Linked DNA regions of Macaca mulatta. The protein of the gene in region 1 binds, or shares a complex with, the protein of each later gene. Links are inferred from orthologs where the notes say so. Each region holds a gene or a part of one and is shown in the gene's direction. Other genes may lie near its edges.

Region 1 (15,528 bases):
GAGGTAAGGAGATAGAGACAATCCTGGCTAACAGGGTGAAACCCCGTCTCTATCCCTAAGAATACAAAAAACTAGCCGGGCGTGGTGGCGGGGGCCTGTAGTCCCAGCTACTTGGGAGGCGGAGCTTGCAGTGAGCCGAGATCATGCCACTGCAGTTCAGCCTGGGCGACAGTACGAGACTCCGTCTTAAAAACAACAACAACAACAACAACTATATATATATCTATATGTGTGTGTATATATATGTGTGTGTGTATATATATATAAATTGCAGAAGACTGCTCATGGTATGCTGACATTACTGTTTACTGTAAAAAATAAGTTGTGTATGTGTGATAAATACATACACATGCACACATTTACAAACACATTTATGCTTGTGTGTTCATAGACTTTTCTGGAAGGGTAAACTTTATAAGAAAGGAAACTAGCAGCATGTGGAGAATGACTAGGGGACTGGAAGTCTTAGATCAGAGAAAGATTTTTGTTTCGTTGTACATAATTTTGCACTGCTTGAAATTTCGATTTTAGTGTTTTTGTTTTTGGTTAACAACAGATTACTTTTTCAACTAAAGAGTTAATTGGAAGAAGAGGCTGAATGAGGTGGCTCACACCTGTAATCCCAGCACTTTGGGAAGATGAGGCAGCAGGATCACTTGAACCCAGGAGTTTGAGACTGCCTAGGCAACATAGGGAGACCTCCATCTATACAAAAATAAAAAAAAAATTTAATGAGCCAGGTGTGGTGGTACACGCTGGTAGTCCCAGCTACTCAGGAGACTGGGGTAGGAGGATTGCCTGAGCCTCGGAGGACTGTCTTGGCTCAGGAGGTAGAGGCTGCAGTGAGCCATGGTTGCACCACTGCACTCCAGCATGGGTGACAGAGCAAGACTTTGTCTCAAATAAATAAATAAATAAGAAGAGAATGATATGCCAGCAAAATTTCCAATCAAATGAAGTTGTCCTCTATTTTTCTAACCCAGATTTGGGCTATGTAAACTTAATTATGTGTCTGTGTATGTATATGTGTGTTTGTGGTTTTGTAATTGTAGTTTCATAATTAATAAATCTAGTGAAAGTTTAAAATAAAAGGAACCCTGCTTTCTCCCCCATTTGACACTGGATCATCTTTTACTCAATGTTGTTAATTCACCCAACAACTATTGGCTAAGAACCTCCTAACTTCCCAGCACCAGTACCTGTTGCGGGAAATACACCAGACATGGAAAGAGCAATACCTCCCTTCAGGCTACTTATGGTTGAACAAAAGAAACAAGAAAGCTCAGATCTGGCCCAGTGCCTCACGCTAGTAATACCAGCGCTTTGGGAGGCTGAGGCAGGTAGATCACTTGAGCCCAAGAGTTCGAGACCAGCCTGGGCACGGCAAGACCCCCATCTCCACTAAAAATACAAAAATTAGCCGGGCATGATGGTGCACACCTGTGGTCCCAGCTACTCGGGAGGCTGAGTTGGGAGAACTGCTGGAGCCTGGGAGTTTCAGGCTGCAGTGAACCCTGGTTGTGCTACTGCACTTCAGCCTGGGTGACAGAGCGAGACTCTGTCTCAAAAAAAGAAAAAGAAAGAAAAAGGAAAAAAAGAAAGCTCAAATAAAAGAGTTTAGAATATATTCATTCATTAAGTCAATTCTTTTTCAAGCCTGTTACAAGGGCTTTTTTGGGACATTACAATATCACCAGGAAGTCAGCAGGGGGCATCTCAAACTCATCTTCTGCTAAATGGGGCTAAGCTCATTTTCAGAGCAGGCCTTTGACATGGGTCTGAAGTTATCTCTGAATGTGAAACCATCAGCAAAAAACATTCATGATGTTCCGTATTCCAATCATTAACTGGGTCTCAAAGTTTTCTTTCATCTACACGGGCTTAAATTTTTAATTTTGTTTGGTTTTGTTTTGTAAAAGGGGGAAACTACTTATAAATGAACATGAATTAGAAATCCAGTGGGTTATTTGTGGGACATTCTTTAGTGTGTGTGAGCTGTCTTCTAGGAAAGATTTGCATCCTGCTCCCCCTTGGTTCCCCAGTTCCTCTGGGACATCATCTGGATAGTGTGCTCTGTTCTTTTTCTTTTATTTTTTATTTTTTTTGAGGCAGGGTCTCACTCTGTAGTACAGGCTGGAGTCCAGTGGTGCGACCTCAGCTCACTGCAACCTCCACCTCCCGGGTTGAAGCAATTCTGGGGCCTCAGACTCCTGAGTAGCTGGGATTACAGGCACCTGCCACCACGCCTGGCTAATTTTTGTATTTGTAGTAGAGACGGGGTTTCACCATGTTGGCGAAGAGAAGTCCCTTCCTGGATGCATTACTGCAATGCACTGGCTTTTAAAAGAATTCTCTCTTTTTAAAAATTATTTTGAAATGTATCTTCTTAATTTTATTCAGACAAATCTTTTAATGCTGATTATATTATTTTTTCCCCTATCCTTACCACATCTCCAGATCCAAGAGCTGCCAGCCTCAACTTCATCCTTCCCTTCAGCAACACATTATCATTTCTGTTCAGAGCCAGTTTGTGCTACAATTTAAGGGACACATGTGAGTAGGTAGTGGTGGCAAAGCCTTTTATGACAATTTTTAGTAAACATCTTTGTTTTTTCTTATTTAAAAAGTCAACAGATTTTAGAATATTTTTTAATATTTATGACTTTGCGTTTATACATTTTATTTGTATCAGTATGTTTTCTTACATTAATTATAATTTTTATAAGGATAAGATCCAACTCAGTACTGATGATCTTTAGAGCCTGCTTACACATTTCATTGTATTTTACTTTAGTAAGAAAGCCACAAAATAAAAATCTACATTAAAATATGTGTGTACAAAAAACTCTGATTCCCAGGCTACTCCTGTTTGCAACTGCTGCAACGTTAAAATATAGCACATGAAATACATTTTTTCCTTCTCTCCTGGGATCGCCAAAGAAAAAACATCTTATGATTTGTGGTTGCTGTTATTTAATCTTCTCTGAGTTTCATCTTCCCTCATCTGTAGAAGGGTAATATTACTGAGTTTGGAGTACTTTTGTAATGATTAAACGCAGGAGAAGATGAAAAGTGCCCAGTGCAATTAGCAGGCCTTCAATCAAAATAAGCTAGCTAGCTAGCTAGCTGGCTGGCTGGCGAAATAATGCTTCCCTACATCCAGAACTTCAAGTTGTTTCATTAAGTATGCACATTAGACTTTTTACTTAGGTCATTTTAAATGTGTCCCAGGGGCAAGTGTCCTGCTACAGGGATACCGTTAGCTTCTTCTCACCTAAAACTTAGTTTGTTATAAAGGAAATGCCAATTATGGAAAAAGTCAAGCCTTTAGCTACTGAAGGCCGAGTAACCTCGCGGAAGTTTGGATGAGTCGCCTCACTAACGCACATGCAATCCTGACCTGGAGATCATGTGAGTTTCTGCGTTAGAAGGCAGGCACCTGATCGCTCCCAGCGCAGCCAATCAGGAGAGAGTGTTGCCGCCACACCCACCTGCTCGGCGCTTGCCCTGGGACAGGAGCCAACCTGGCTTGCTTTTCTTTTTTTTTTTTTTTTAACCAGGCTAAGCTGCTATAAATTAAGTCTTCCTGGAAATCTCTTCAACTCTACTGGACGTGCTAATGGCATAGTTCACTTCAAACTGAATTCATATTTAAATATTATATATCCTCCAACTCTTGAGGGCTTTAATTTTGTTATCTGGTTAGCCCGGGAAATCATTTTAAAAATACGTTATAAGTATAAGACTTTACCTTAGCAATTACATAAAATCTCCTTGCAGTTTTCTGAAAGGCACAGAAGTGCAGTTTAGTTTGGTTGTCTTATCAAAAGACATTTATGCATGAAAATAGGCTGCAGGAGTATTCTATATAAGATAGCAGGCATTTCTGCACGTCTGTTTATATGCCATTCACACCATGAACACATCCAATGCAATTGTACTCATCTTCTGTCATTTTTTAAAATTAGAGTTTACTACATGATTTTTGGAGGACGGCCACATCATAGTTATTCATCCCTTGCATGGTCTGTTCTGCCACTTCTAAAGTTTTGCGAAGTTTAATTTTTGGCAGGTTTCAAGATTCTCTACATACTTTGTAGGATAGAGTGAATGTGCACAGTACATTGTGTAATAATTGCAATACAAGACAGCGTGTTGTGTTGTGGCATGGAATGCGTCAACTTAAAGATAGAACTCTGTTGTGCAGAATACAGACTTTTGAAATATTTGGGTATTATCAACTTTTATTTCATTTTTCGAGAAAAACTTAAAGAGCGAGCCCAGTTTTTAAAAAAGCTTTTCATTGTTCTAACCTACAATTGTACATTGTGTTTGTGCGTGTGTGTGATGGAGGGTGGGATGAGTAAAAGTGGACATTAAAAATATTCAGACTATAAATGTAGTAGATTGGAGGTTCTGATTTGATGAGTCAGTTTCTCAGCCATAAACTGAGAGGGGGTTGGGGATACACTTCATTGTCTTTCCTGGCTAATATAAATCCCTTATATTTAAAAAGATATTTAAAAGTATTCCAAGCATTTTGGCAGAAAAGCACAGTATCCAATTTTTTTTTTCTTATTTTATGTGCATGCCTCTTACCCATTTAAAAATAGCTGTATTGACCTATAATTTACACACTATATAATTCTCCCATTTAAAGTGCACAATTCTATTGCTTTTAGTATATTTACAGAGCTGTGCATCAGCACCATAACGTAATCTAGAACATTGTCATCAACTCCCCCAAAATCTCTCTATTCTTCCCCTCCCCTATTGATTACCCAGCCCCAGGCAACCACTGATCTACTTTTGGTCTCTATAGATTTGTCTCTTTGTGGACACTTTAAATGGAATCATACAATATGTGTCATTTGTGACTATCTTCTTTCACTTATAACTCAATACGGCTTTAGATTATTTGACCTCGATGTTCTGCCTCTGAACACAAAATATTATCCTTGCATTCCTTGATGAGTTTGAGGATTGAGAATAATTTGCATGAGGCAAAAATTAGAAACTAGTTAGAGCAAGTAGGCTTTTCTCCATCACATAAGCTGATCCATCTTGCCAATGTTAAAACACCAGATTGTACGAGCACAAGCTGGGACGCAATGTGTGTCCCTGTATCCCTACATTGACTTTGCGGGGGTGGGGGTGGGTGCGGGGTGAGGGAGGGAGGACTGCAAGTGACAAACAGGATTCATCAAAAGAGAGGTGTATTAAAGTGCCGGCCAAATGTAATTTAACAGCTAAACTGTCCCTCCTTGGAAAACAGGTGATTGTTGAGTATTTAACGTGAATCGATATAAACCTGTGTTTGGTGCTTAGACAGGGGGCCCCGGGGAGAGTGGAAACCCTTAGGCTAAGCGAACAGGAGCCTAACAAAGCAAATTTTTCCGTCTGCCCTTTCCTCCTCTTCTCGTTGGCAGGGTTGATCCTCGTTACTGGTTTGCTCAAACGTTCAGAAGTGAATTTAGGGCCCTCCCCCCAACTTATGATTTTATAGCCAATAGGTGATGAGGTTTATTTGCATATTTCCAGTCACATAAGCAGCCGTGGCGTGAAAACAGTGTCAGACTCGATTCCCTCTCTTCCTCCTCCTCAAGGGAAAGCTGTCCACTTCTAGCTGCCCTGCCCTCCCCTTTAAAGGGCGACTTGCTCAGCGCCGGACCGCGGCTCCAGCCCTCTCCCGCCCCCGGCTCAGCCGGCTCATCAGTCCGTCCGCGCCTTGCAGCTCCTCCAGAGGGACGCGCCCCGAGATGGAGAGCAAAGCCCTGCTCCTGCTGGCCCTGGCCGTGTGGCTCCAGAGTCTGACCGCCTCCCGCGGAGGGGTGGCCGCCGCCGACCGTAAGTTTTGCACGCAGACTCCCCTCCAACTGCAAACCCGGCGGGTGGCCACTTGCCATCCGAACTGAGGATATGAAAAAGTAAGTTGGAAGGGGCTGTGATGCGCCCGGGGACTCTCCCAGCCTGGGCACTAGCCCGAAAGGGTCCCTGCAGTGGGATCCAAGAGGGGCCGGGAGGGAATCTCCTCCCGATGGTGAAGCGGCGGCGCCCGGTTCCCGCTTTTTCTCTCTCCCGGGTTCCCGCGCTGTCCCTTCCACTCTGGCTGGGACCGCGTTCCCAGGCGCGCGGGCTCCGCCGGAGAGGTTCGGGGATGTGGGGGGCGGGACAGCGGAGGCGGGGAGTAAGGGCCCGGCTGGCGGTGACCTGTAGTCACCTCCCTGCTGGAGGGGCCCCGGAATGAAAGGCGCACGGGCCAAGGTGACCTCGGCTTGGCTGGGACTGCGGCTCAGCCCCCGCCTGGGGACGCGCGGGCCGACAGGGGCCCCTTCTGGGGAAGCCGAGGCGCGGGAGGCGTTCCGGGAATCTCAGCCGCACGGGGCACGCTCGCCCTCGCTCCGCTGTGGGAGTGGCAGTGGGTTTGAGGGTGTAGAAGGAACGCGTGGCGCGGAGTCCTGGGGACGCGGAGTCCTGGGGACGCGGCGTCCTGCCCGCTATAGCGCGCCCGGGACTCTCTCCAGCTTCCAGGCTCACATGCCGTCTTTACTTAGTGCCCTGAGAACCCAGTGAGGGGCTGACCCTCCCGAAAACGTGGCGCAGCCATCAGCAATCTGTGGCCGCCGACTCGGGGGTTGCCAGGTTTGCACTTGGCCACCCTTCCTGTCCTGGGGGCTGAGGCCAGCTCCGGGCGCCCGGCCCCGCCGCGCGGCTGCGAGCACTTGGGGTTGCCGGGCGCTGCGGGCACAACCTTGGTCATTGCAGCCAGGGAACCGCCCGCTCGCTAGGGTCCAGGCGTTCGGGTCCAGATGAGAATGTCTCGACCTGTCCGCAATGGAGGCAGTCTGCTTAATTCAAAACTCGATTCAGTTAACATGCAACAGCAATATAGAGAGCAGCTGAAGCCATTCATAACACGGGCCAACATTTCCTCTTTTCTTCCTTGCTGGAATTGCAATTAGGGCGGTGTCGCTTGGATGTGCTCTCAGGCGGCACGTCCACGGCGGTTCAAGTTATGATGGAGTCTGTCTATGGCTTGGATTGCCACTGAACGTTTGTTTTATTTTGGCATTAATTTGTGAAACATTTTTGTTAGGTTAAAAAAAAAAAAAAGTTGGCAGGGAGCAGTGGCTCACCCATGTAGTCCCAGCACTTTGGGAGGCCGAGGCCGGAACATAGCTTGAGCCCAGAAGTTCGAGACCAGCCTGGGCAACATAGGGGAACACCGTTTCTATTTAAAAAAAAAAATACAAAAATTAGCCGGGCATGGTGGCCTGTGCCTGTGGTCCCAGCTAGTCAGCAGGCTGAGGAGAGATCACTTGAGCCAGGGGGTTCCAGGAGGCTGCAGTGGGCTGTGATTGTCCCACTGTACTTCATCCTGGGTGACAGTCTCTCTCACACACACACACACAAACGCTAAGTATAGATTCCATCAAAGCAAAATTGGATTTAAAAAAAAAGTATCTTTTCTATTGGATCAGTTTGAAAACACTGGAGACTCGATGAGAACGTCTTCAACATCTTAGGTGGGGTATGTTTCCCTTTGTACTGCTTAACTGGATGAAGCCAATGTTCTCTGAGGCCGGTGTAACTCTTGACTCTTTAAGTGGACACTTATGTGATTAATTAGTTTATTGAGTTGTAGCCAACACATGCTTTTCTAGGCTGTAAATATATTAAGGAAGGATTATTTCAAAGTAGACTTGAAACGACTGCCTCTCATCCCCTCCACTTTCACTCTATTCACCCAATATATAATGCCTCTCTCATCACAGAAACTTTCTCCCTCTTTCTCCCCCAGATGCATTCATCTAGGAAGGTAAGAATTTCAGGGAGAGAAAGATGTTAGTGTGGTAGAAAGAGAGGCAGCACCTCCTCTGGGCTCTTGAGTTTACTTATTCATTCTGGATTCTTTCTAAGAATATGAGAACAAGAGGCACTGCCCTCAGGCACTTTGTCCTGGGAGCCACCACCATTTCTGCATGGTCCCAGTTAGGAAATGTGAAGAGCTAGGAGAGGGAGAGTATGGTCAGTGCTTAGCAGCTGAAGTTCTGCTTGCCTGGCCATCATGAATTTCCAGGCTATCTTCCGAGTTGAACATGATGGCAAAGGAGAGCAAAACAGCAGATGTCACTGGAGGAGAGCTCAGTGAGGGAATGATTAATAGCTGTATTAAAAGGTGGGAGTCAGGTACGGGGGAAGAGCTGTGATGGAAAATTTTCTTTCTTTCAGCAGCTTATTTTTAACTCAGCTCTCTATTCTTGCTTTATTATGGAGGAAAAACCAGGCCATACAGTTTACTGCCTTATGCCAGATGGTTCAAGAAAGTGCCTTGCAACTTACAACATTTTGCAGCTAGTTTCTTCTGTGGCCACCACAAAGACCGCACTGACTTAAATATGAAGATGTTCCAGCCATCAAAGTGATGGCTGGTGATGATTTTCGATCACAAAGTGTAAGGAAAGTATTCAAGACACGAGTATCATACACATAAGGTAAATTCCAACTTTTATGCCAATAAAAACAACAAAAACACTTATCAGTGTAAAGCTTGGGATCATTTATCCATTAAATGAGTTTGTCACCACAGTGAACTAAATACCATTTATCAACAGAGACTTTCTAACCTGGGAGTAAAATCTTTGTCACAGTGCTTTTGTCACATTCTGTTTTTGGAAAAGTTGAAGGCTCCATTAGCTCCTGAAGGACTAATAGGATAGGGTTCCAATTTAGAGGCTAAGAGTTTGAAATTTACTCTGAACAATGTCTGTTCATTAGACTGCATGACTGCACTTTGCCGTCTTGTGGCCATTTTAAGATTGTCTGTGTGCACTGACACCCTTTGAGTGCTCAACAATAGGTATCTACTATGAAGGAAGGAATGGATTACCTTGGGTGATATATATATATATATATATATATTTCATATATATATATATGAAAGTTCTGCTGGAAGTGAGCCTGTCAAACTTGTGCCAGTTCATTCCTTTTGCTCTTCCTAGTCTGTGCTCTCAGAATGATCAGATGCTATCTAAGCAGTGTGGTGATTTTGACTGTTTGATTGAATGAAAGAAAATGTCTCCCACCATTATTTGACAGTAGAATAGAACAAAGATGACCCAATTGGGGTGGCCACACTTTGTCTAATCCAGCCACCTTGCTCACAGCACTCAACCCACTTTGGTGTGTGTGCTCATCTGTGTTTTCATACATGTTGAAGTCTCTTTCTATGCAGTCAGGTAGGGGTAATACCATTCTGGCTTGGATTAATTTGAGTGTAGTACAAAGTTTAGAGAAGCTTTTAAGTAGCATGAAAAGTCAGATGCTTTTGGAGGGATCGTGGTAAATGTAGGTAAATGGATTTGCATTTAGAGCCTCAACAGCCCTTCATTCAAGATACAGCTATCATGACATCAATAATGTACCTTTGAAAAAAAATTGGCTGCAGAATTAATTATGGTGAAGAATAGTATAGGAGTTAGCACTTACATTTTAACTAAAAAGAATAGCATCCCCATGTTTATGCAGCCTTCCCCCCAATAAAACAATTGTTGGCAAAGTAATCATGGACCTTCATTGTGTTAGTTTCAGACAACTAGATGTTTCCATTTGCCATCCTCAGCAACAAGAAGAAAGTCGTCTCAGATTAATCATGTAAACATTTTGTATTTCACTTAAAAAAAAATCTTGACTTAAATATGCCCATGTGATGACACTCAACCAAATTATTTCATTAACCAGTCCACAAGATCCCTTTAAATAATGATGGCTTATTATACTTGATGGTCTAATTCAGTGGGGAAATTTTAACACACATCTCTGAACCTATTTTTTAACCCCTCTTTTCAGTAGTGTGGAAGGTTACCCCTAATACTGGAGAAAATTCAGGGTAAAATTCAGGTGATACATATAGGATTTATTTTTACTATTCCATTAATAAAACAATTTTTATAAAAATAAAAAGTAGGCTGGCACAGTGGCTCATGCCTGTAATCCCAGCACTTTGGGAGGCTGAGGTGGGTGGATCATGAGGTCAGGAGTTCAAGACCAGCATGGACAGGATGGTGAAACCCCATCTCTACTAAAAATACCAAAAATAGCCAGACGTGGTGGTAAGCGCCTTTAATCTCAGCTACTTGGGAGGCTGAGGCAGAGAATGGCTTGAATCCAGGAGGCAAAGTTTGCAGTGAGCCAAGGTCACGCCACTGCACTCCAGCCTGGGCGACAGAGCAAGACTCCGTCTCAAAAAATAGTAATAAAATAAAATGAAATAAAGCTGCTTGTTAGATAAGTCAAGAGCATTGTTTAAATTGGAATATCTGAGCAGACCAATCAATTCAGTCTGATCATGATATTGATGTTTTTCTTCACCAAATCGACCACATCAGTAATTCAGTTTGTTCTTCAACAAACACTGCCTGAGTCGATAACTATGACTATCAGTCTCAGAGAGCAAATGAATTACTAAGGAAGTTCTGTAGGAATGAGAGAAAAGGGGAGAGAGAGAGAAAGGGGTGGGGAGATAAAGGGAGAATAGAAATTCCAAAGAGAATTGCATTCTCACTGAGTTCTTGTACCTCATGTCATTGCATAAATGTTCATGTCACTCATGTGATGACTTTGATCTGCCTTTAAAGCATCATCTGTTGCTTTCCTGGGATGCTCAATGCTTCCCTCTTTCTAGCAACAAGAATTCCCGCTCTTCCCCTCTATACATTTATCTTTCTCTACGTGCTTTAACTTCTCAGCCTAATTTTGTCTCTGTGAGTTATTATCTATGTTAGAATAAATTCTTCGTCTTTGTTTACACACTCAGATTTGTAGCTACTTATTTAGGAGTTTAGGAATAAAGATTCCATAGTCAGGAAAGGCATAACTTGTAACTTCCGTGTTACCCAAAACTCTCCCCTAAGTGCTTAATATGGACATTTCTGATGAGACCTGATTGGCAGGTAGTACAGAGATGCTAAGTTAAATTCAGGATGGAGGCCTGCCTTTCCTTCCCTCCTTCCTTCCCTCCTTCCTTCCCTCCTTCCCTTCCCGCTTCCCTTCCCACTTCGCTTCCTGCTTCCCTTCCCTTCCTCCTGTACTCCTCTTCTTTCTCAATTCTAAGGTGGCCTTAATTTCTAAGGGACATGGTAAAAGACAGTCTAGTTAGATGAGTGCAGTCACTTATATTATTTCCATGTATGGAAACTAATAGTTTCTTTATTAACAGCTCCATCAAATCAGTCCACCTGCTGCCCAATAGCAATCACAGGATGCACTGGAACAACCAAATATACTGACTTCCCCACAGCCAGGGTCCATCGTCCTACCCATCGCTACATGGTCTAAGTCAGTTACTAGAGAGCTGATTGAAGTTTGGGAAGCACATTAATCTTTAGGACACTGAGACATCCTCGGGGGGTTGCAAACACAGGTAGTGTGAAAATTATCAGAACATCCAAGAAAAGGAAAGTTTGACTAAGTGCCAATAAAATTTACTATTTCATATCTGACATAGAATTGAAACCATCACATAGCACACAGAGTGGCACTATTTTCCTGTCAAATGAAAATCATTTGCTTTAAAAGTAAAATGAAAGTCTCTAAATACAAATTAACTAGAGGATGTGTAAATTTCCTACTTTTCATTACATGTTCTGGACGCAACAGAGGGAAACTGGAGCTGTCAGTGAGCCATACATGCAATCTGGTACAGTATCTATGGATTGAATAGACCTTTTTTTTTTTTTTTTTTCACGGAACTACACAAAGCCAGTCTTGGTTATTTCAAAGAAAATTTGTGGTCATTTCAAAACCACCAGCAATTCCAGGGACACCAAATTGCATAATTCGAGGGGAAAGTGGACTAAAAGTGAATGGCAGCCTCTGGAGTTGTACTGAGCAATATTCTTAAAATATCAATTTGGCAAATAGGTGGTAAGCTAGATCTGTCTGCCAGGTTGTTCAGATCATCTCTGCTTTAAAAAGATTGATAATAGAATATGTTAAAATAAGACTAGTGGAGAGGAGATATGAGCTATTTAAGGTGGAAAGATGTGGGAGAAGGTGAAATTAACTTAGTTTTAAATTTTCTAAAGCACTTTTTAACAGGAAAAAAAGTTCTTAGGCACTGAAAGCAGAATTAGATCAAAAGTATTCAATACTCTTTTCCATTATCAGATAAATAGTAAAGCTAACAAAGTGCTCTCTGGTTGGGAAGGAAGAAGGCGACCAACATCTTCAAATAAAGATGAGAGGGAGAGCATATTCTTGGTGGATGGATGGATTCATGTGCAGTTTTACTATATGCAAATGAAAAGAGCTTTAAAGACCAATAGTTTAGCATAGATTCTTATTTGAATAAATGATCTTGGAGTGTTTACTCATTGTGACAAAACTCCTTTTCTCATAATTAGAATCATTAAGAAATTTCTCCTACATTTTAGATGACGGAGGTGTATGTGCACGTGTATGTGTACGTGTGTGTGATCAACTCATTGCATATTTCTTAAACCACAATATTGTTTAAGGAATTTTAGAAAATAATTACTCAATAAGAAAATGTTGGCCAATTGTAGATAATTAGATAAGGCTGACTCAAATGCCTGTACTTTCTTTTTATTACCATTATTATTATACTTTAAGTTATAGGGTACATGTACACAACATGCAGGTTTGTTACATATGTATACATGTGCCATATTGGTGTGCTGCACCCATTAAATCGTCATTTACATTATACCTCCTAATGCTATCCCTAATATCTCCTAATGCTATCCCTCCTCCGTCCCCCGACCCCATGACAGGCCCCGGTGTGTGATGTTCCCTGCCCTGTGTCCAAGTGTTCTCAATGTTCAATTCCCACCTATGAGTGAGAACATGCGGTGTTTGGTTTTCTGTCCTTGTGATAGTTTGCTCAGAATGGCAGTTTCCAGCTTCAACCATGTCCCTACAAAGGTCATGAACTCATCCTTCTTTATGGCTGCATAGTATTCCATGGTGTATATGTGCCACATTTTCTTAATCCAGTCTATCATTGATGGGCATTTGGGTTGGTTCCAAGTCTTTGCTATTGTGAATAGTGCTGCAAGAACATACGTGTGCATGTGTCTTTATAGCAGCATGATTTATAATCCTTTGGGTATATACCCAGTAATAGGATGGCTGGGTCAAATGGTATTTCTAGTTCTAGATCCTTGAGGAATCACCACACTGTCTTCCACAATGGTTGAATTAGTTTACAGTCCCACCAACAGTGTAAAAGTGTTCCTATTTCTCCACATCCTCTCCAACACCTGTTGTTTCCTGACGTTTTAATGATCACCATTCTAACCGATGTGAGATGGTATCTCATTGTGGTTTTGATTTCCTCAAATGCCTGTATTTTCACTGTTGTTACTATGCCACTCTTATTTTTATTATTGGCCTGACTACTGCAGTTATTTTGATATTACAGATTTTTAAATTTTGAGTTGAAAAAAAACAGCAAATTTAGATTAAGAAAAGAGAAGTAGTCCTAGCAGCCTCACGAATCTCCTGAAAGTTTGAATGGCAAAATCTAAAATCTGCAAATTATTACCTTCTTATAGTAAATAGGTAGGATTTATGGGTTGTTTTCTTTTTTTACTTTTTTACTTCAAAATTAAATGATTCCTTTAACATAACTTCCCTTTGATTGTGCTCTGCTTTGTGAAGTCTGATTTTATTTGCAATATAATTTACTTCAGCTATTCACTGTACCCCATGAAGATTTAGCAGCATTTATAATTATTGTCCATAGTTTCAAAGTTCTCTTCTCACCAAGTTTGGGATTAACTATGAAGAACCAAACTGAACCCTTTCTACAACAAGCTTTGCTGTGGTTTTCAAGTTTTGCCTTTGTGTGGAAGATTGTAATGACATAGTGGGAAAATAAATACTTGGGGAGAGAATTAACCATGGCTCATACACAACACGGGTATTTCTAGACAACCTACTAAATGATTTCTTAGAACATTTTGAAGTATATCTTGCCATAGGAGTGGGAAGAGTTTCATACAAAAGCTTCCTCATGCTTCCAACTTTTCTTTAAAAAATTTTTTTTTAATTATTTTATTAAAACTAGAGGCCTGGCCTGATGGCTCACACTAGTAATCTCAGCACTTTAGGAGGCTGAGGCAGGCAAATCACTTGAGGCCAGGAGTTTGAGACCAGCCTGGCCAACACGGTGAAGCCTCATCTCTACTAAAAGTACAAAAATCAACCAGGTCTGGTGGCTCATGCCTGTAATCCCAGCAGTTTAGGAGGCTGAGGCGGGTGGATCACTTGAGCTCAGGAAATAGAGACCACCCTGGGCAACATGGCGAAACTTCATCTCTACAATAAACGCAAATTAGCCTGGGGTGGTGGCACACGCCTGTGGTCCCAGCTACTCAGGCAGCTGAAGTGGGAGGATCACTTGAGGTTGATGGTGCAGTGAGCCAAGATCGCACCACTGCACTCCTTTGGCCTGGGACACAGAACGAGACCCTGTCTCAAAAAACAAAACAAAACAAAAACCCCCCCACAAATATTGGAACTACAGCACACCAGAGCCATGCACGAGTCAATGTTCTCCAGGAAAGTGAGCTTTGAAGTAGAATTGAGAGACCTGGTTCTGATCCTCACCCTCCCACTAATACCTGGATAACCTTGGCCAAGTCACTTAAATTCATGTCTTGAGAGAAGATAGAATTCACTAAGGAATCCCCAAATAGCAGTTCACTTACTTGAAATCATGAACATACACACACACACCCCGACTAAGGAGAGCTTCAGGAAAGGCTGGAAGACTTAGGAGAGGTCAATGGTGACAATCTTAATTCAGAGTTAAGGTTGTCTGTCAACTTTGCTCAACGTTGGAGGATCTGTTGTTCTCTTGCAATCCACATTCGTTTTTGAAAACACTTCAGAAACAAAAACAGCATCAGCGGTGGTTACCTGTGAACCTAAAATATACCATTCCAATGAATAAAACCAAACAACCCTCCAGTTAACCTCATATCCAATTTTTCCTTTTCAGAAAGAAGAGATTTTATCGACATCGAAAGTAAATTTGCCCTAAGGACCCCTGAAGACACAGCTGAGGACACTTGCCACCTCATTCCTGGAGTAGCAGAGTCTGTGGCGACCTGTCACTTCAATCACAGCAGCAAAACCTTCATGGTGATCCATGGCTGGACGGTAAGGGAGGCTCTTTGAGGAAGAGGGGATTAGGGTGGTGAGGTATCCTGATGGGCCTGCCCTAGTTGTTGGGGAGCCAGTGATGGGTCCACACCCCATATCTCGCGTGGCTCTCCTTTACACTTGAATAAACACAGTTCTGGCTCAGGTGGGATCTGAAGCCACAGGTTCATGAGAACTCCCCCTAGGCAATGCCAGCCTTCATTTTAACACTGTACTTGGTTGGTGCTCTTGAGTCAGAGCCTCCTGCGAGGTGGGTAAAGGAGGCTCTGCCCAGCTATAGAGCAGAAGATAGGCGATTGCTGTGGAGAACCGGCAGAACCCTGGCGTGATCCTGCA
Region 2 (15,661 bases), about 130 Mb from region 1:
TCACTCCACCTCCGAGACAGGGCAGGAAGAAGCCAGTCGCGCCCATGACCCTCCCAGCTCCCCGCTACCCAGGCCTCCAACTTACTTCTGACTGCAGTCACAATGTCATGCCCCAGCGGACAAAGCATATTCAAACATGAAAGGAGGAGGCTACCTGGCAAAAGATCCATAAGAGTTTGTTATTTTACATCAACGAACATCTGGTGAATACAAGTGGAGCTAGGGAGGGCATCATTTTAGTTTGAGCTCAATGTGTTGGTCTGGACACCCTCAGCACAGATTTCATATTTGAAGGGATAGCTCTAGCAGCTGGCAGGAGCTCGAACAATTTGCTTACCTCGGTGACAAAAACCTGGAATTCACAATGGCCACGTGGAGCCGAGAGGCGCAGCTGATAAGGAAAGAGGCCTTAAGCTAGGTGCAGTGCACAGAAGCCCCCCGGCTGGGGACAGAGGCCCAGCCAGCGTCTCTGCAGCAGTCCTTGGGCCGGGGCCAGTTCACCAGCCCTGCCGTCCTCCCAGCCTCCTGCACGGGGCTGCTGCCATTTGTCAGAGGAGCCGGCAACTGAGAAAGGAAAGTGCCCTGATCTCTCAGGGGAGTCTGGCACGGGCTCCCGGCCATCACTGCTTTTTCTGGGCACCCTGGCTGCCCAGGGATTTTGCACTGTGATGGGGACATATGAGGGTGAGGTGACCGAGTTGTGGCCCAGTTCTGCCCTCAAGCTCAGTGGGACTAGAACCTCCCCCTTGGTGACTTTCCCAATCCCGAGGTGCAACGGCTACTCCTGCAGCATGTAGGCTCATCTTAAAGACTCTCCCACCTTGGAGGAAGGATCTGCAGGACGTGACCACTAGTGAGGCCACACCCGGGGGTCCAGCCATCAGCACCACGACCAGGGACGTGAGACGCACAGGGCCCATTCCCTCGCTCCCGACTCACCACCCGGCTGGTGGATGGTAAGCGGGACCTGAGGAATAACAGCAACCATCAGATGCTCAGGTGGCGATTTACCCACAGGTCTACGCTGGCTCTTGGAACACAGGGCTAGTGATTGGGAAAATATGTTTTTCTCCCTGCCAATAAGCAGAAAACACACATATGGGTTCCCTCGTCTGCCAGGGGTGCAGCACTCCCTTCCCGTCTTGCTGCAGGGTTTCTCTGGCCAGCTCTGTGCCTCGGTTTAGACTGAGGAGCCTCAAAGGTCTCACGCGGCCCTGGCACCAACAGCCCTGAGCCCTAGGAGAGCCGAAAGCTGCTGAAACTTCAGATGTCCTAGTGCAAACTCACCTCCAAAAGCGGAGCTGGAGAAATGTGGGACCCACTACTCAGTGCATTCCCAGGGCCCAGTGGTCGGGGCCAGGGTCGGTTTCGCCCACGAAACTGTAGGACCAGCGCTCCCACCAAGATGGAGCTCAGCTCCTCATGCAGGAAAGACACCTGCATTTGGCTCTGCTGTCCCCACAGAGTCAGCAGTGATTCAAGGACTGCAGGAGGAACGGCATTGCCCCTGCCCTGGGCCGGTGGACCCAATGGTGTCCCCCAGCTGTGCCAGACCAAGTCCTGGACAGAGCCTGTGGCAACCTTGGGAGGAGGAGAGCCACAGCCGACCCCAGGGTCTGAGCAAGGTACAGCCCCTCAGCAAGGAGCTCTTCGCAGCAGTCAAGGAGCTGGCAGGGCCACGTTTCCTCCAGAGACTCTAGGCGAAAGTCCCCCCCTGGCCTCTTCCAGCTCCCGCCTTCCTGAGCTTGTGGCCACATCACTCCAGTCTCCTCTGTCTCCACACTTCACACCTCCCCTGCTTTCTCTTATAAGGACACCTGTTACCCTAACTCCAGATGATGTCTTCCCAAGATTTTTAATGACATCTGCAAATACCGTTTGTCCAAACAAAGCCACATTCATGCATTCAGGTGACATGGTGTGGCTGTGTCCCCACCCAAATCTCATCTTGAACGGCAGCCCCTATAATCCCTGCGTGTCGTGGGAGGGACCCAGTGGGAGGGAATTGAATCATGGGGGCAGGTTTTCCAGTGCCGTTCTCGTGATAGTGAATAAGTCTCAGGAGAACTGATGGTTTTACAGAGGGCAGTTCCCCTGCACACACCCTCTTGCCTGCCGCCATGTAAGACGTGTCTTTGCTCCTCATTCACCTTCCACCATGATTATGAGGCCTCCCCGGCCATGCGGAGCTGTGAGTCCATTAAACCTCTTTTTCTTTACAAATTACCCAGTCTCAGGTAAGTCTTTATTAGCACCATGAGAACAGACTAATACATAGCCCCTGGGGCTTGGACATGTCTTTTGATGGGACTGTTTGACCCACATCACGACTCTTTCCACAAAACAGCCTCTGACTGGTTAGTGGCCCAGATGGTGAGCATGTGCCTGGCACTGGGCTCCAAGGGGCTGTGCCGCTGGGCAGCCCACCACAACAGGTGTTGTCTGATCCATGGAGTCTTACAGTAAAGGCGGCCACCACAGCCCACTTCCCTGGGGAGGGGGCGGGACAGGAGTGGCCCCAGGGTCTTCTGCACCTAAGCCCTCCCTCTCAACCTGTGAGCTCCGAGGAACCTTTCAACAAACTCCTCTTCTGCTCCAACTAGCCAGAGTCCATTGCAGTTCCCCACAGTTGGGGTCCCTGCCTGATACAGCAGAGAAGGTGAAGCCTGTGTCATGGGGACAGAGATGACAGGAAGTGTGTCCAGGACACAGCGGTGCGGAAGCCCCATCCTGCTCTGTGATTTGACAGGAAGTGTGTCCAGGACACAGGGGTGCGGAAGCCCCATCCCGCTCTGTGTGATTTGCCTCCCAGCACCTCTCTTTGTGAGATCCCATCCCGCACTGCTGTGAGAGCTCAAGAAGGGCTTACAGCCCGGGCTTCTGCAGCCACAGACTCTGGCTGGGACATGAGGGCTGCGTCCTGGGGCTAAACACAGAGCTTCATAAGTCAGGCTGGAGAAGAGGGGCGGGGGCTGGGCAGGTCGGGGAGGGGGCTTAGACTGAGCCCGACAGTGGGGAGGAACGGGGGGCTGCTGGTGGCCACTGCCATTCCTGGAGGGCTGGGTGAGGCTGGGGGCTAGGGCTCTCCATCCACCCCCCACCCAAGCCCACTCACGAACAGGAGCTCAGGTGATCCTGCCACCCCTGCTGGGCCCTCACCCCTGCTCCTTACTTCCCCCTCTGGGGGCTCATCCTAAAGCACGCAGGACAGAGCAGTACACAGGAGCTTTCAAGCCTCAAGTGGAGCAGCCCGGGCTTTGACTCCCAGACCCCCATTCCCTCCGGGTCGTTGTGAGCCAGAATAGAACAGGCATCAGATGACGGCTGTGGGCAGTCAGGGGGGGTGTCCTGTGGCACAGGGGCAGCATCTCTCCCAGGCTGGGGGTACAAGGGGCTGATGTGCACACTCCTGTCCTGGGCCCCCAGGCTGCCTCTGCAGTGTGGCTGTCCGGGACCCACCGTGTCTCCTTGGAAGGCCGAGGCTCTGAGGTTCGGTGCCATTTCCAGCAGGTGGCTTGCCAGGCAACCCCGCACAAATAGGCATCCCACCCTGAGGCTCTCTGCATCCTGGTCCTCGAGCTTGGGGCCTCTCCTCACCCACCTCACACCCCAGATTCAGTTGGATCCAAAGGATCGACCATGAGAAGCCATCGCGGTGGCCAGGGAGGCCCCGCGTCCCCATAGTAACCAGAGCCACCTCAACACTTTGTGGAGGTGGTCAGCTGCCCATCACCGCCTGCGGGCAGAGGGAGGCCCCACCCAAGACCACCTCCCGTGGCCTCCTCCCTCCCCTTCTCCCTACTTCCCCCACCTAACCTCCTCTCCTCTCCCCTGCCCCTCCGGTGGGGCCACTGTGGAAGACACTGTCAGTTCTGCCTGCCAGGAGTCCGAGCGGGACATCCCAGTGGTGTGGTCCTGACGTGCAGAGGCTGCCAGGAGGCCCTGTGCCCCCCCCCAAGGCTGGGGGTCCACGCTATAGCCTGGGAGGGGCTCCTGCCTGCCCTGGGCTGCACCTGTCTGGCTTCCCTGGTAGCTGCTCTCCCTCCACACGCCCTCTCCCTGCCGCTGTGGGTGAGTGCCTGCCGCTCACCCGCCCACACACAGATCCCACCCTGAGCTCAGCCATCAGCTTCCTGCCTTCCAGGGACTGCGGGGCCCCAGGCCTCTCATTCGCAGGCCTCTGCTGGGTGGTAGGGCCGGCGGGGGTCAGTTTGAGCAGAAGACAGGGCCCTGCACATCAGTGGCCAAACGTGGACCTTGACAGAAGGCGAGCCCAGTGGGCAGTCCCCACATGAACACACAGCAGCGGGCACAGATCCTGCCTTCTCCTGTTCCTGCAGAAAGCAGTGTGCCGGGACACTCAGTCCTCCGCTTCCTCCGCTTCCTGTTTTCTGATCAGGATGTAAAGAGCTTCTTCACTGTCATACAGCTGCAAAGTATCCCTGCATCGTTATTTTTAGTCTCTTTTAATATTGTGAAATTGCTACATTGTTTTTAACATTTTTAACAATCTCAGTGTGAAGGAAATTGATTTCTAAATGGATAAAATAAATGATAGGAACAATGTATTCCTTGCTCTTGCATTTTTCCAAGACGGGGACCCAGTACGGCCATGGGGGGATGTTAAAGCCAAGCCTTGAATCCCTCTGAGGGCACCGAGCTAGAGGTGGGTACAGGAGTGCCGTTGTGGGGAAAGGTCTCTGGAGAGGATGGTGCCTGGGCCCTGCCTCTGGAAATTGAAGATGGGCAGGAGGAGGAGCTTGAAGGACCACCTGAAGCTTTGCCAAGAGGAGCTAGACAGAGATCAGTCGCCCTCACAAGTGGGGGACAAGAGGGACCCCCTTGGAAGAGCAAGGGAAGGGAGACTCTCCAGGGTTATGGTGGTGGGGCTGAGGGTGTCTAACGACTAGGAAATTGAGCACAGAGGGTTGCAGGTGCAGAGCAGCGTGGAGGGGAGCTGGGAGGCCAGGGAGGGTACCTGAGTGAACCACATGTGAACAAGTTAATGAACAAGCTTCTGGACCAGGGTGTGTTTGCCTCTTGGGTTCTAGGGGTGCCTGGGAGCTGCAGGACCCATGGGAGCTGCTCCCCCTGGCCGGCCCACCCACCCACAGCTACCTCTGAATGCTGGATTCCGGGAAAGAAAAAGGGCTTGTACCTCAGTGCACATAATGGGCAGCCTGCTCCGCCTGGCACTGAGGGGTCATCAGAATCAGAGAGTGTCGGGCACAGTGACTCATGCCTGTAATCCCTGCACTTTGGGAGGCTGAGGTGGGTGGAGCACCTGAGGTCAGGAGTTTGAGACCAGCCTGGCCAACATGGTGAACTCCTGTCTCTACTGAAAATACAAACATTAGCTGGGCATGATGATGCGAGCCTGTAATCCCAGCTACTTGGGAGGCTGAAGCAGGAGAATCACTGGAACCCGGGACGTGGAAGTTACAGTGAGCCAAGATCGCGCCATTGCACTCCAGCCTGGGTGACAGAGTAAGATTCTGTCTCAACAAAAGAAATAAATAAATAAAAATAAGCAGAGAGTAACCCCAGGGGAGGAGAGTCTGGACTCTGCTCTCAAAACAAGTCCCTCCCTCTGCCAGACTCAGGTTCAGTGAGACAGGAGTAGGCTGGCTGCAGAGAGGGTGGGAAGGAACTCAGAGCAGGGAAAGTGTGGCAAGGGCCAGCACATCTGCAGCCCTCATCTGCCCCAAAAGGCCCTACTCTCCCGGCATGGACACCGTACACGTGCCCCTCAGTCAGAAACATTTGCCCACCCTTCCTTATAGAAAAACTCTGCTCACCCCTCAGGCCCAGCCCCAAGGTGCCCTCCTCCCAACGCCTCCCTCATTCCAAACCCAATCTCACGGAAGGCTGCCTCCTGGAGACGGCAGTGCACGGGTCTGGATCTGACTCCAGCTGGTGTCAACACGGGGGAGGGGGTACAGAGTAGGAGTGCAGGCCCAGGACAGGGCCACACAGCCCCCCCAGGACAGCAGAGCCCATGGCCCCACCTGGGCATGATGCCAGCACAGACCCTGCCCGCCGAGCCCCACATGTCACCCAGGCAGGAGGGAGTGTGGATGGCTGGGCATCCCCTGTCCACAACCAGCACCAAGCTCTGAGCCCAAGGCTGCTGCTGCCAAAAAGAGCCATGTGACTCATGCAGGCCCCACCCTGGGAGGAGGCCCAGAGAGCCGCTGTGTCAGAAGGGCCAGCCCCATGAGCCAGCAGAGCAGGCAGGTCCAGGCCCCAAGGCACAGAGGTCTATGGGCAGGGAGCTGGGGTGACCGGGCTGCCCTTCAAGGGTACCTTGGGGTGTGGGCATGGCTCAGGGCCTGGAAAGGTGGTCGAGCCCAGGGGCACAGGTGCAGGCTCTAAAATGACCCATGGCAGCTGCCATCAGGACCAGCAGCCCTTAGCCCTGGCACTGGGGGACCACAGCAGTGCCCTGAAGGTCTTAGGGGTCATATTTTCACCTGGAGCGTCTGAGAGGTCATGATGCTGCCCTGGGGGCTTGAGGGAGGCTGTGCAGTGCCTGGGTGGGATGAGGGGGTTGGCTTCACATACAGAGCCCGCCACGCCCACCTGCGACTGTGGGCAGTGCTGGGGAACCAGGTGTCTGCCACTGCGGGTCCCCCTTCACACCTGCGCACCATCCCGGGGGGGGGCACCTTCTGTAGGGGCTGGACCAGACCCACTAGCCTTTCCGGGGTGGGACAGAGGGAACAGCCTCTCAGCTGCCAGCACTAAATTTAACTCAATCTGCGAATCAAATGCGCGCTGATTGTCCCCAGGTGATTCTCGCAATAAGCACTGGCCTGGGTTGGGCAGTTTGCACCAGGGCTGAAGAGGCGCTGGGCCTAGAGGTAGGCAATGTGCAAGGGCCTGGGCCCCTGCGGAGGGGAGGTGGCAGGTGGAGACCCCCCAGAGAAACCCAGTAGTGCCCTTCCTAGGAGCAGCTCCTGCAGCACTAGATTCAAGAGCCTGTAGTGGCAGCCAGGGCGGGGTGTGGGGGAGGTAGGGCGCCAGGGAAGCTGGGCACCAGGGAAGCTGGGCACCAGGGAAGCAGGGCACCAGGGATGCAGGGCACCAGGGAAGCGGGTCAATGGGTAGGCGGGGCTTGGGGGAGGAGGGGTGAAGGGGTGATGGGAGGCAGTGCAAGGAGGAGGTGGGGCACAGGAGAGGTGGGTCGACAGGGAGGTGGGACGCTGGGGAGGGGGGCGAATGGGAGGCGGGGCGATGGGGAGGTGGGGTGTGGAGGAGGTGGGGCGACAGGGAGGTGGGGCAGTGGGGCAGGTGGGGCAGTGTGGGAGGTGGGGCGTGGGGTAAACAGGGTGTGGAGGAGGTGGGGCACCAGGGAAGCGGGGCGATGGGAGGTGAGGTGTGGGAGAGGCAGGGCGATGGGAAGGCAGGGCGTGGGGGAGGCAGGGCGTGGGGGAGGCAGGGCGAGGGCGCAGGGAGGCGGGTGGGGGTGGGGCCACACCGGGAGGGGCAGGGAGGGGCAGGGCTGGGGGGACAAGCACCACGTATGAAGAGTTTGGGGCTGGCGGGGCATGTCCAGCTGTGGCATGAGCACCGCTATGGGAGACCCTGGCTTGGAAAGTGACTTTGCAGCCTTGGACAGGGAAGGGCTGGATGCTGGGTGGGTGCTGATAGAGAAGAATGGAAGAATGACAGGTTCAGGTGAATTAAGGAGGGATGGTTGACTCAGTGGCTGAGACATCAGAGACAGATATTCCCAGCCTCAGGCGCTGTCCTAAGCCCAGCAGGTACTGACCCTTGATGGTCACCTCACCCTATGAGGGAGCTGAGGCCTGGGGAACCCCAGGGGCTCGTCCAGGACCCAGAGCCAGGGGAAGGAGGAACCGGGTCTTAAACCCAGGCAGCTCACTCCAGAACCAACTCAACCTCTGTTACAGGTGGCCGACCAGAAAGCCCCACCCCACCCATTGACAGTCGGGGAAACTGAGGCCTCAGTAGGTGAAGGGCCTGACCCAAGCGCCAAGGCACACAGACGCCCAGGCTTGACCCTGGCTCCAGACTCCCATCCAGCCCCTGCCGCTGCCCCACCCCTCTGCTACCCTCAGGAGACTCTGCCCTCTGCATCCCACCCCCAGGGGCTTGGGCAGGGGCTTGGGAGGAGAGGGTGGCCTCAGGGAGGGACCTGGGCTTTCCAAGCCTCTCCCAGAGCAGCCTCTCTCTCACACAAGGCCAGAAGGCAGGTGGGGGCTGATGGCTTTCCCAGCAGAAGGCCAAGGGTTGGGCCCCCAACAGCTCCGGAAAGCTCTCCACTGGACACCAGCAGGAACAGCACTGCAGACGGAACAGCAGGGGCAAAGACCCGAGGTGATAGTGGGGAGGCCTTGGGCCCGGCAAGTGCACTGCTGAGTGTGGGTGAGGAGGAGGTGAGCACACAGCCTTAGCTTGAGGGCACTGACTGTGTTTTTATTTAAATGCTCTTAAAGGGGCCTGGGTGTGATGCTGACTCTGGAATGAAGATGCTTGGCCAGTGATCAGCAAATAGAGGGTCTGTGACCCCAAGCTCCTGTGACTATGGAGCCCAGACATGGGGTTAGGGGGTGTCAGGCATGGCCCAATCCGGGGCAAGGCTCCCTGCCCTGCACTACAGGGCTGAGGCACTGAGCAGCAAGGCAGGCCAGGGCCAGCAGCTCCTGTGGCCAGCACCGCCTTCCAACCGCTGGCACAGGTGCACGGGACGCTCCAAGGCCAACCACAATGACTTCTCCTTCCCCTCCAGCCCCAGAGGTCCTGGAGGGAAACAACAGTCCCTGGCCTGGCGCCTGGAGCTGGGACCCATGTGAGGCCCATTGTTTGAGGCTGGAGCTGGTGGGGGCCACTGGGAAGCCCACGGCAATGCCCTTCATCCCACTTATTGCAGCTCCAGAGTGCTGCGCGAGGAGTCGGGGACGTAGCAGCGTCGGCGAAATGAAGGTGCTCAGGGCTCTCCTGCTTGCCCTTTTGCTGTGCGGACAGCCAGGTGCGGGGCAAAGGGTAACCCTGCGGTGAGGGGCCAGTGAGTGCAGTCCTGGAGCACGGGGACCTCCAGGGAACCCCAGGAGGGGCTTAGGAAGAAGGAGGGGATGAGGCCGGAGTCCCCAGCCCAGAGCAGTGTGGATGGAAGCTGGTCTGGGATCCCAAGAGTCCCCAAACATCTGTGCTCCTGTTTATGTGGGGTGCGGGGAGGGGCTACCATAAAGGGCCAGCCCACAGCAGCTGCTGTTGTAACTAGTGTGCCAGGGCATACTCGGCTGCAGGACAGTGAGCAGGGTGTGCAGGGGCAGGAGGCCACACCAGGTAGGCTGCCCTGGGGCCTGAGGGTGGCAGGGGAGGGCCAAGGAGTTGGGGGTGTGATGCTTGCCCAGAGCAGGTGTCCTCCATACTGGGTAGCTGAGGCTTACAAGCATCCCTGCACGGCCAGGAAGAGGGCAAGCACAGCAGGAGGAAGAGGACGAGGATGAGGACCACAGGCTAGATGACGACGACGAGGAAGATGAGGACGAGGTGGAAGAGGAGGAGACCAACAGGCTCCCTGGTGGCAGGGGCAGAGGTATGGCTGCCCCAACCCCAGGGCCCCGTTGCCTGCTCTGCCTGGAGCACTCTGGGCGGGGCTGTGCGATGGAAGCCAACAGGCCACAGTCCCGCTGTGAGCTTGCCTCCAGCAGAGTGGGGGACACTCAGTGCACCCCTCACTTCTTCCACTCACCATGACACCCAGTTCCAGAGTAGGGAACAGGGGAAGAAGCCACCAGCTGGGAGGGTCAGTGGTGCCAGGATGTAGAGGTTAAACAGGAGTTCACCTGGCAGAGAAGGGCTCAGTAGGGGCCCAGGGTGGAGACAGCAAGCACAGAGGCCACAGGGTAGGGTTCAGTTTTGTGGGGCAGAGAGAGCAGCAGGGTGGGCCGGTCCTGTGCAGGGGAGAGATGGATTGGCTGCTGCAGGCAGGGGAACCAGGGAAGCGCTTAGAGCAGAGCAGAGTGGGGCTAATAAGAGCCCACCACCCCCCCCCCGTCCAACACACCCCTACACGCTGGGCCACCCTCTGCTCTCTCCCATCCCCAGAACAAAGCAGAGCTAATCGCCGCATCCAACCTTCAAGCCGACCACTCCCTAGCCAGGGCGTCCAGCGTGCCCACCACACACAGCCCACCCCTACTCCCAGGGCCCCCAGGCCTGCCCTCAGCACAAGCCCTGCCCCACACACCCACAAGGTGTCCCCTGTGAGGCCCGGTGCTCCCAGAGGCAGGACTGAGTCAGACTCGCCTCCAGGTTTCCATGCCCACAGCAGGAGCCTGGGCAGCACTGTCACAGGAGGTGAGCGACGATGGGAAGTTCGCCCTGCCTGGGCCGCAATCCCTTGCCCCTAAACACACAGGCTCACGCACACAGCACGGCTTACAGGGCCGAGTCAGGGGTGGCCCGCCCGTCTGAGCAGTGGGTGCTGGAGGCTCACCAGGCTAGGCTTTGGGAGCACAACTGAGAATGGGGAGGTGGATAGGGACATGGACCCGGCCTGGGCCTGAGCCCACCTTGTCCACAGTGCTGCTGTGGTGCTATACCTGCCAGTCCCTGTCCAGGGACGAGCACTGCAACCTGACGCGGAGCTGCTCACATGGCCAGGCCTGCACAACCCTCATTGCCCACGGGAACACCGGTAAGTTGGCGTGGGGCCGCAGCACACGCAGCACACGCACCCCCAGGTGGCGGGAAAGCCAGGGGCCCTGAACAGAGCCCTGTAGAGCCACCTCGGAGGCCCCGCCCATCCTCAGCATCTGTTCCCCACTCCCCTCCCCAGAGTCAGGCCTCCTGACCACCCACTCTGCATGGTGTACAGACAACTGCCAGCCCATCACCAAGACGGTCGAGGGGACCCAGGTGACCACAACCTGCTGCCAGTTCAACCTGTGCAATGTCCCACCCTGGCAGAGCTCCCGAGTCCAGGACCCACCAGGCAAGGGGGCAGGCGGCCCCCGGGGCAGCTGCGAAACTGCAGGCACAGCCCTCCTGCTCAACCTCCTCGCTGGCCTTGGAGCAATGGGGGCCGGGAGACCCTGACCCACAGCCCCTCCCCACCCCGACCCAACTCACCCCTCGCCCTGCCAGCACTCTGTCTGGTACCTTCCCCTCCTGCCCCTGCACCAGCTTTGGAGAATGAATTTGGAGTGTCTTGGGCAATCCAGCCAGCACAGCCCCGCCGGCCCGGTTGCTTCCTCAGTTCCCGGCTTTGCCCTTGGTTTCCTCTCCCCACCGCCTGTGAGTGGCAGGACTGCAGCACGTGGGCGCTGGGTCCAGACCTTGGCCACCATGCCCCAGGGCCTGCAACCCTCATGGGGGTTGGGGATCCCCACCAGCACAGCTAGGCAGAGATGATACCCACCACATGCCTGGGGGCCCCCACACCCAATCCTCACCCTTAACTTCTGCCACAGGAATTCCTCCATCTGCAGCGGTCACACCGGCCCGCCCTGCCTTTCCCCAGGTCAGCCTCCCGGCTGTCTGGAGGGAAGAGGCCTTGGAGGGAGGCTATAGTCACCCCTAGGAAAGACGGGCCTGGGGGAGGCAGGATAGTAGGGGAGGCGGGCTGAGGATGAGAGGGCACAGGGAGGCGGGTCGGGGTGAGGCCACACGCGGAGGGGCAGTGCGGGGCTGGGGGGACAGGCACCAAGTATGGAGAGGATGGGGCCAGCGGAGCCTGTCTGGCTATGGCATGAGCACCGCCATGGGAGACCCTGGCTTGGAAAGTTACCTTGCAGCCTTGGATGGGGAAGGGCCGGATGCTGGGTGGGTGCCTGTCACCTTGAAGTGACCATTAAGGGTCAGTACCTACTGGGCTTAGGACAGCACCTGAGGCTGGGAATACCTGTCTCTGCTCTAGCAGAGGCTGGAGCAGGCTAGAGCAGTGGAGGAGTGGAGTTGATGAAAGGAGAGAAGTAGATGAGATGAAATTTTTCCAGCCTCATCCTTGCCTGCCCTCTAGACTCCAGCCCCCAGGCCCTCAGCCTGGTGGGTGTCATGGAGGAGTCTGGGGGTGTCAGACAGGCTACCCTGTGCTAGGGAGGGGGCAAAATGGGCCTTCAGCTTCCTGCAGAAGCAGCAGGACTGGGTAGCAGAGCCGGGAAGGTGGGCGGCTCATTATGGGGGGGGGGTCCCCAGGGTCCTCTGGCAGGGCTGGTGACTGCTCCAAGTCCTGGCTTCACCAGCAGCTGGTGCCAGGACAGAGCTCTGGGACAGCAGGCAGAGGCCCAGCCTGGGCCACAGCTCAGCCACTGACTTGGGTATCAGTTTCCCCTTCTGAGAAGTACAGTGAGACTTAAAGAACCCCTAATCCCCACCAGTTCAACACTCCATGAACCAGGACTCCATGAACCGGGAAGGCCAGAGTCCTGTCCTGCCTGCCGAGCTCATCCCGGCGGGCAGTGGGAGGCCTCCGCTAACTGTTCTCTCCTTTTCCTTAGTAAGAAAACCCACAATGCCTAGCTGGGGGTCGGAAGGTAAATGCCCTAGATGGTGAGGTCACGTCTTTCTCCTTCCCCTTCCTCCTTCCTGCTGGCTGAAGTGGTGACTGGAGCTCAGCAACCACTTTGCACCATGAGGCAGCACTGAGCACGGCAGGGCAGCGTGATGAGAGGGGCCTGGCTTGCTACTGACAGAAGGCACTGCCTACCTCGGGGTGCCCTTACCTGGGAGGGAAATAAATGTCTGCTGTGTTGAAGCTAGTTATTTGGGCTGTCTGTTACTTGCGTTTTCACACTCACACATGCACACGTGTGCACACGAACACTCATGCCTACAGCCCACTGGAGCACAGTGCAGGGGTCAGGCTGCCTGCTTCGAATCTAAGGCCCAGCCCTCCCCAGCTCCACGACCCTGGCAACCCCTTCACCTCCCACTTGGCTCTGTTCAGCAGGAGTCCTAGGAGAGCCCTCCTTGTGGGCTACAGTGAGGATTCTCCAGAGTGCTGGAATGCCATGTGTCAGGGCTTACAGCCCCGTGCCTGGCAGAGAGCAAGTGCTCAGTAAATGGGAGTTGTGGTCATCAGAACACTTCTCATGACCCCACTCTTCACTTGCCATCTGTGTGTGTGAACATAGTACATGCCCCACCTGAGCCAGCCCCAGACCCTCATAATCCAAAGACCTAACACCACTCCTAGCACCACCTGCAACACCACCTCCACCACCACCACATTCAATACCACCCAAACACCACCCCAACACCACCACCTACACCACCCCCAACACCACTGCCAACACCACCCCCAACACCACCCCCACACCACCCCCAGCAGCCCACAGAGGGCTTTCTCCTGGCGCCCACTCCGGCTCTGAGCAGGAGCAGAGGGTACTGTGCTTAGCTGTCTAGGGTGGGCCCTGTCACAGCCCGCTGAGGTAGGAACAACATGAGGCTCGAGCTCAAGGTCACACAGCTCGGCGATGCAGATCCAAGGTGCAGTCCCTGGGCTTCCTGCCAACCTCACCCAGCTTCCCAGGGGTGTCCCAGGCTCCAGGACGCCTGAGCTGGGGAGGAGCTGGATGCCAGCCAAGAGCCAGCCAGATTCCCAGGCCAAGTCGAGTCTGAGCCAGGTGGGTCAGCAGTGCCAACGGGCGGATGGCCACAGCCAAGACATCCTGGGCCCCATCTCAGAGCCCAACGCATGCTGTCAGTCCCAAGAGTGAACATAGAGGGACCTCCCTTTCTCATCCAGCCCGGGCAGCAGGGAGACTGGGGGCTGGGGGCGCTGGGCAGGGAGGGGGCAGGGCCAGAACCTACGTCCCTCTGTACCAGTTTCCCAAGGCTGCCGTAACAAATCACCACAAACCTAGTGACTTAACACAAGTTCATGCTGCAGCTCTAGAGGTCAGAAGTTCAAGTCAGGGCTCTGGCTGGGCTGTGTTTGCTCTGGAGAGAACCCACCCCTCACCCTCGTAGCTTCAAGAGGCCGCCTGCTCTCCTTGGCTCATGGCCCTTTCTCCACCTTTGAAGCCTCTCCAAACACTGCTCCCTTCTCAAGTCAGCTCTTCCTCGGCCTCCTTCCTACAGGGATCCTGTGACCACAGTTAGGACTCGCCTGGAGAATCCTGAGCCATCTCCCATCTCAGATCCTCTGCTTCCTCATGGCTGCAAAGTCCCTTTTGCCATAGAAGACATATTCACAGGCTTGAGGATCTGAACGTGGGTGTGTCAGGGACCTTTCCTGAGCCCACATCAGCCCCTCCCTGGACATCTGCCCCGAGCCTGGCTGTGCTCTGGAAGCCACGGTCCTGGGGAGGAGAAAGCCAGGCTCCCTGGCTCGACGGGGCCACAGTCCCAGGAAGGGGGCCTTGCCAGGACCCTGGTGACCATGTAGCAGGACGAGCCGCAGACAAAACTACTCAGACACTGGATTAAAGAAGGAAGAGGTTTTTTATTCGGCCGGGAGCATCGGCAGACTCGCGTCTTAAGAGCTGAGCTCCCTGAAAAAGAAATTCTTGGCCTTTTTAAAGGCTTACAACTTTAAGGGGTCCACGTAAAAGAGTCGTGATAAATCAAGCAAGCGTGGGAAACGTGACTGGGGGCTACATGCATCAGCTAACAGAACAAAAAGTTTTACAATGCTTTTTTCATACAGTGTCTGGCATTTATAGATAACACAAGTAGTTTTGGTCAGGGGTTGATGTTATTATTATTACTTTTTTCAACTCCTAGGGCCGGGTGGTGGTGCCAAGGTTGTCTGGCTATTTATTTTACTTTTGTTTCTTTCTTTTTGCTTTCTCTCTTTCCTCCTGTCTTGTGAACTAGGCAAGGTGAGGGGAGGAGGGCAGCAGGAGTAGTAGTGGTCTCCTTCCTTAGCCACAGTCCAGAAGTCGGTACCACAGCGGTCTCTTCCTGCCCCAGAAGAATTCAGGACCCTTTGCCCGTGCTCATCACGAGAAGCCAGGCAGAGGCTTGTTCCCACTCTGCCTCTCCCACACCCCTTGGGTCTGCCCACACCCAGGTCTCCTCGCCATCAAAACTGACCAAGACCAGGGTGCAGTGCCTGACTCAACGCATGGGACAAACCCTAACCACGCCTCCCTCTCCCGGGAGCTCTGGCCACTCCCACATAAGGACACACAAGGATACAAGGGGCGTCTGACACCCCGGGACCGGGCCCCCAACCTCTGCCAGCCATTCGGGGACAGGTGGACTCAGATACGTGGGTAGGGGAGACCCGGGTGCGGCAGAGCTGAGGGAGTGCAAGAGAGACCGTGAGAGCAGGACTCTGCCTAGCACCCTGGGGATCCTCCCCAGAACCCACCAGATCCATCCCTTTCCTCCTCCTTAGGGACTGGGGCTTGCAGGCACTGCTCCAGCACCCACTCTTTGAGGGATGGAGCCAGCGTTGCCTTGGAAACGGGCATCTAGGAGTGGAGTTCATTCCTAACACGCTCAGCTTTTTGTCTCTTAATTCATTGGACTTAATAGTGGCGTCTATGCAGGGGAGGAGCAGGTGAGGAGGCGGCTGGAGAAGCTCGCCTCGGAGGCCAACCCTCCCTCAGCCCTGCCTCTGCTCCTGGCGATCCTCTGAGCCCAGGATCCGGTGGTTCAGTGGTGTCCCCAGCAGGCTCTGAAATGCACTGCAAGTCACACCACACCCTGGGCAAAAGCCAGCTCCCCCTTCCCCTTC

What was found.
Region 2: the proteins of LPL (region 1) and GPIHBP1 are in contact, whole or in part, in a crystal structure (PDB 6OAU), measured with the Homo sapiens proteins. The link is inferred for Macaca mulatta from reciprocal best matches to the Homo sapiens genes LPL and GPIHBP1. Residues at the interface, in NP_000228.1 of Homo sapiens: Tyr367, Gly368, Thr369, Ala371, Glu372, Glu374, Leu403, Met404, Lys406, Lys430, Lys440, Ile443, Cys445, Ser446, Arg447, Glu448, Val463, Lys464, Cys465, His466, Asp467, Ser469; in NP_835466.2 of Homo sapiens: Cys68, Lys69, Ser70, Leu92, Ala94, His95, Gly96, Asn97, Thr98, Glu99, Ser100, Leu103, Thr104, Thr105, Ser107, Trp109, Cys110, Thr111, Asp112, Ile117, Lys119, Val121, Glu122, Thr124, Val126, Met128.

The regions. Positions count from the first base shown.
Region 1 is NC_133413.1:21,569,877-21,585,404, forward strand, and holds the start of LPL (lipoprotein lipase), read left to right. Parts: upstream 1-5,539; 5' UTR 5,540-5,759; coding exon 5,760-5,847; intron 5,848-15,028; coding exon 15,029-15,189; intron 15,190-15,528. UniProt on the Homo sapiens protein: Key enzyme in triglyceride metabolism.
Region 2 is NC_133413.1:153,565,349-153,581,009, forward strand, and holds GPIHBP1 (glycosylphosphatidylinositol-anchored high density lipoprotein-binding protein 1 precursor), read left to right. Parts: upstream 1-8,943; coding exon 8,944-8,995; intron 8,996-9,436; coding exon 9,437-9,565; intron 9,566-10,077; coding exon of another isoform or gene 10,078-10,382; exon of another isoform or gene 10,383-10,519; intron 10,520-10,555; coding exon 10,556-10,669; intron 10,670-10,810; coding exon 10,811-11,070; 3' UTR 11,071-11,237; downstream 11,238-15,661.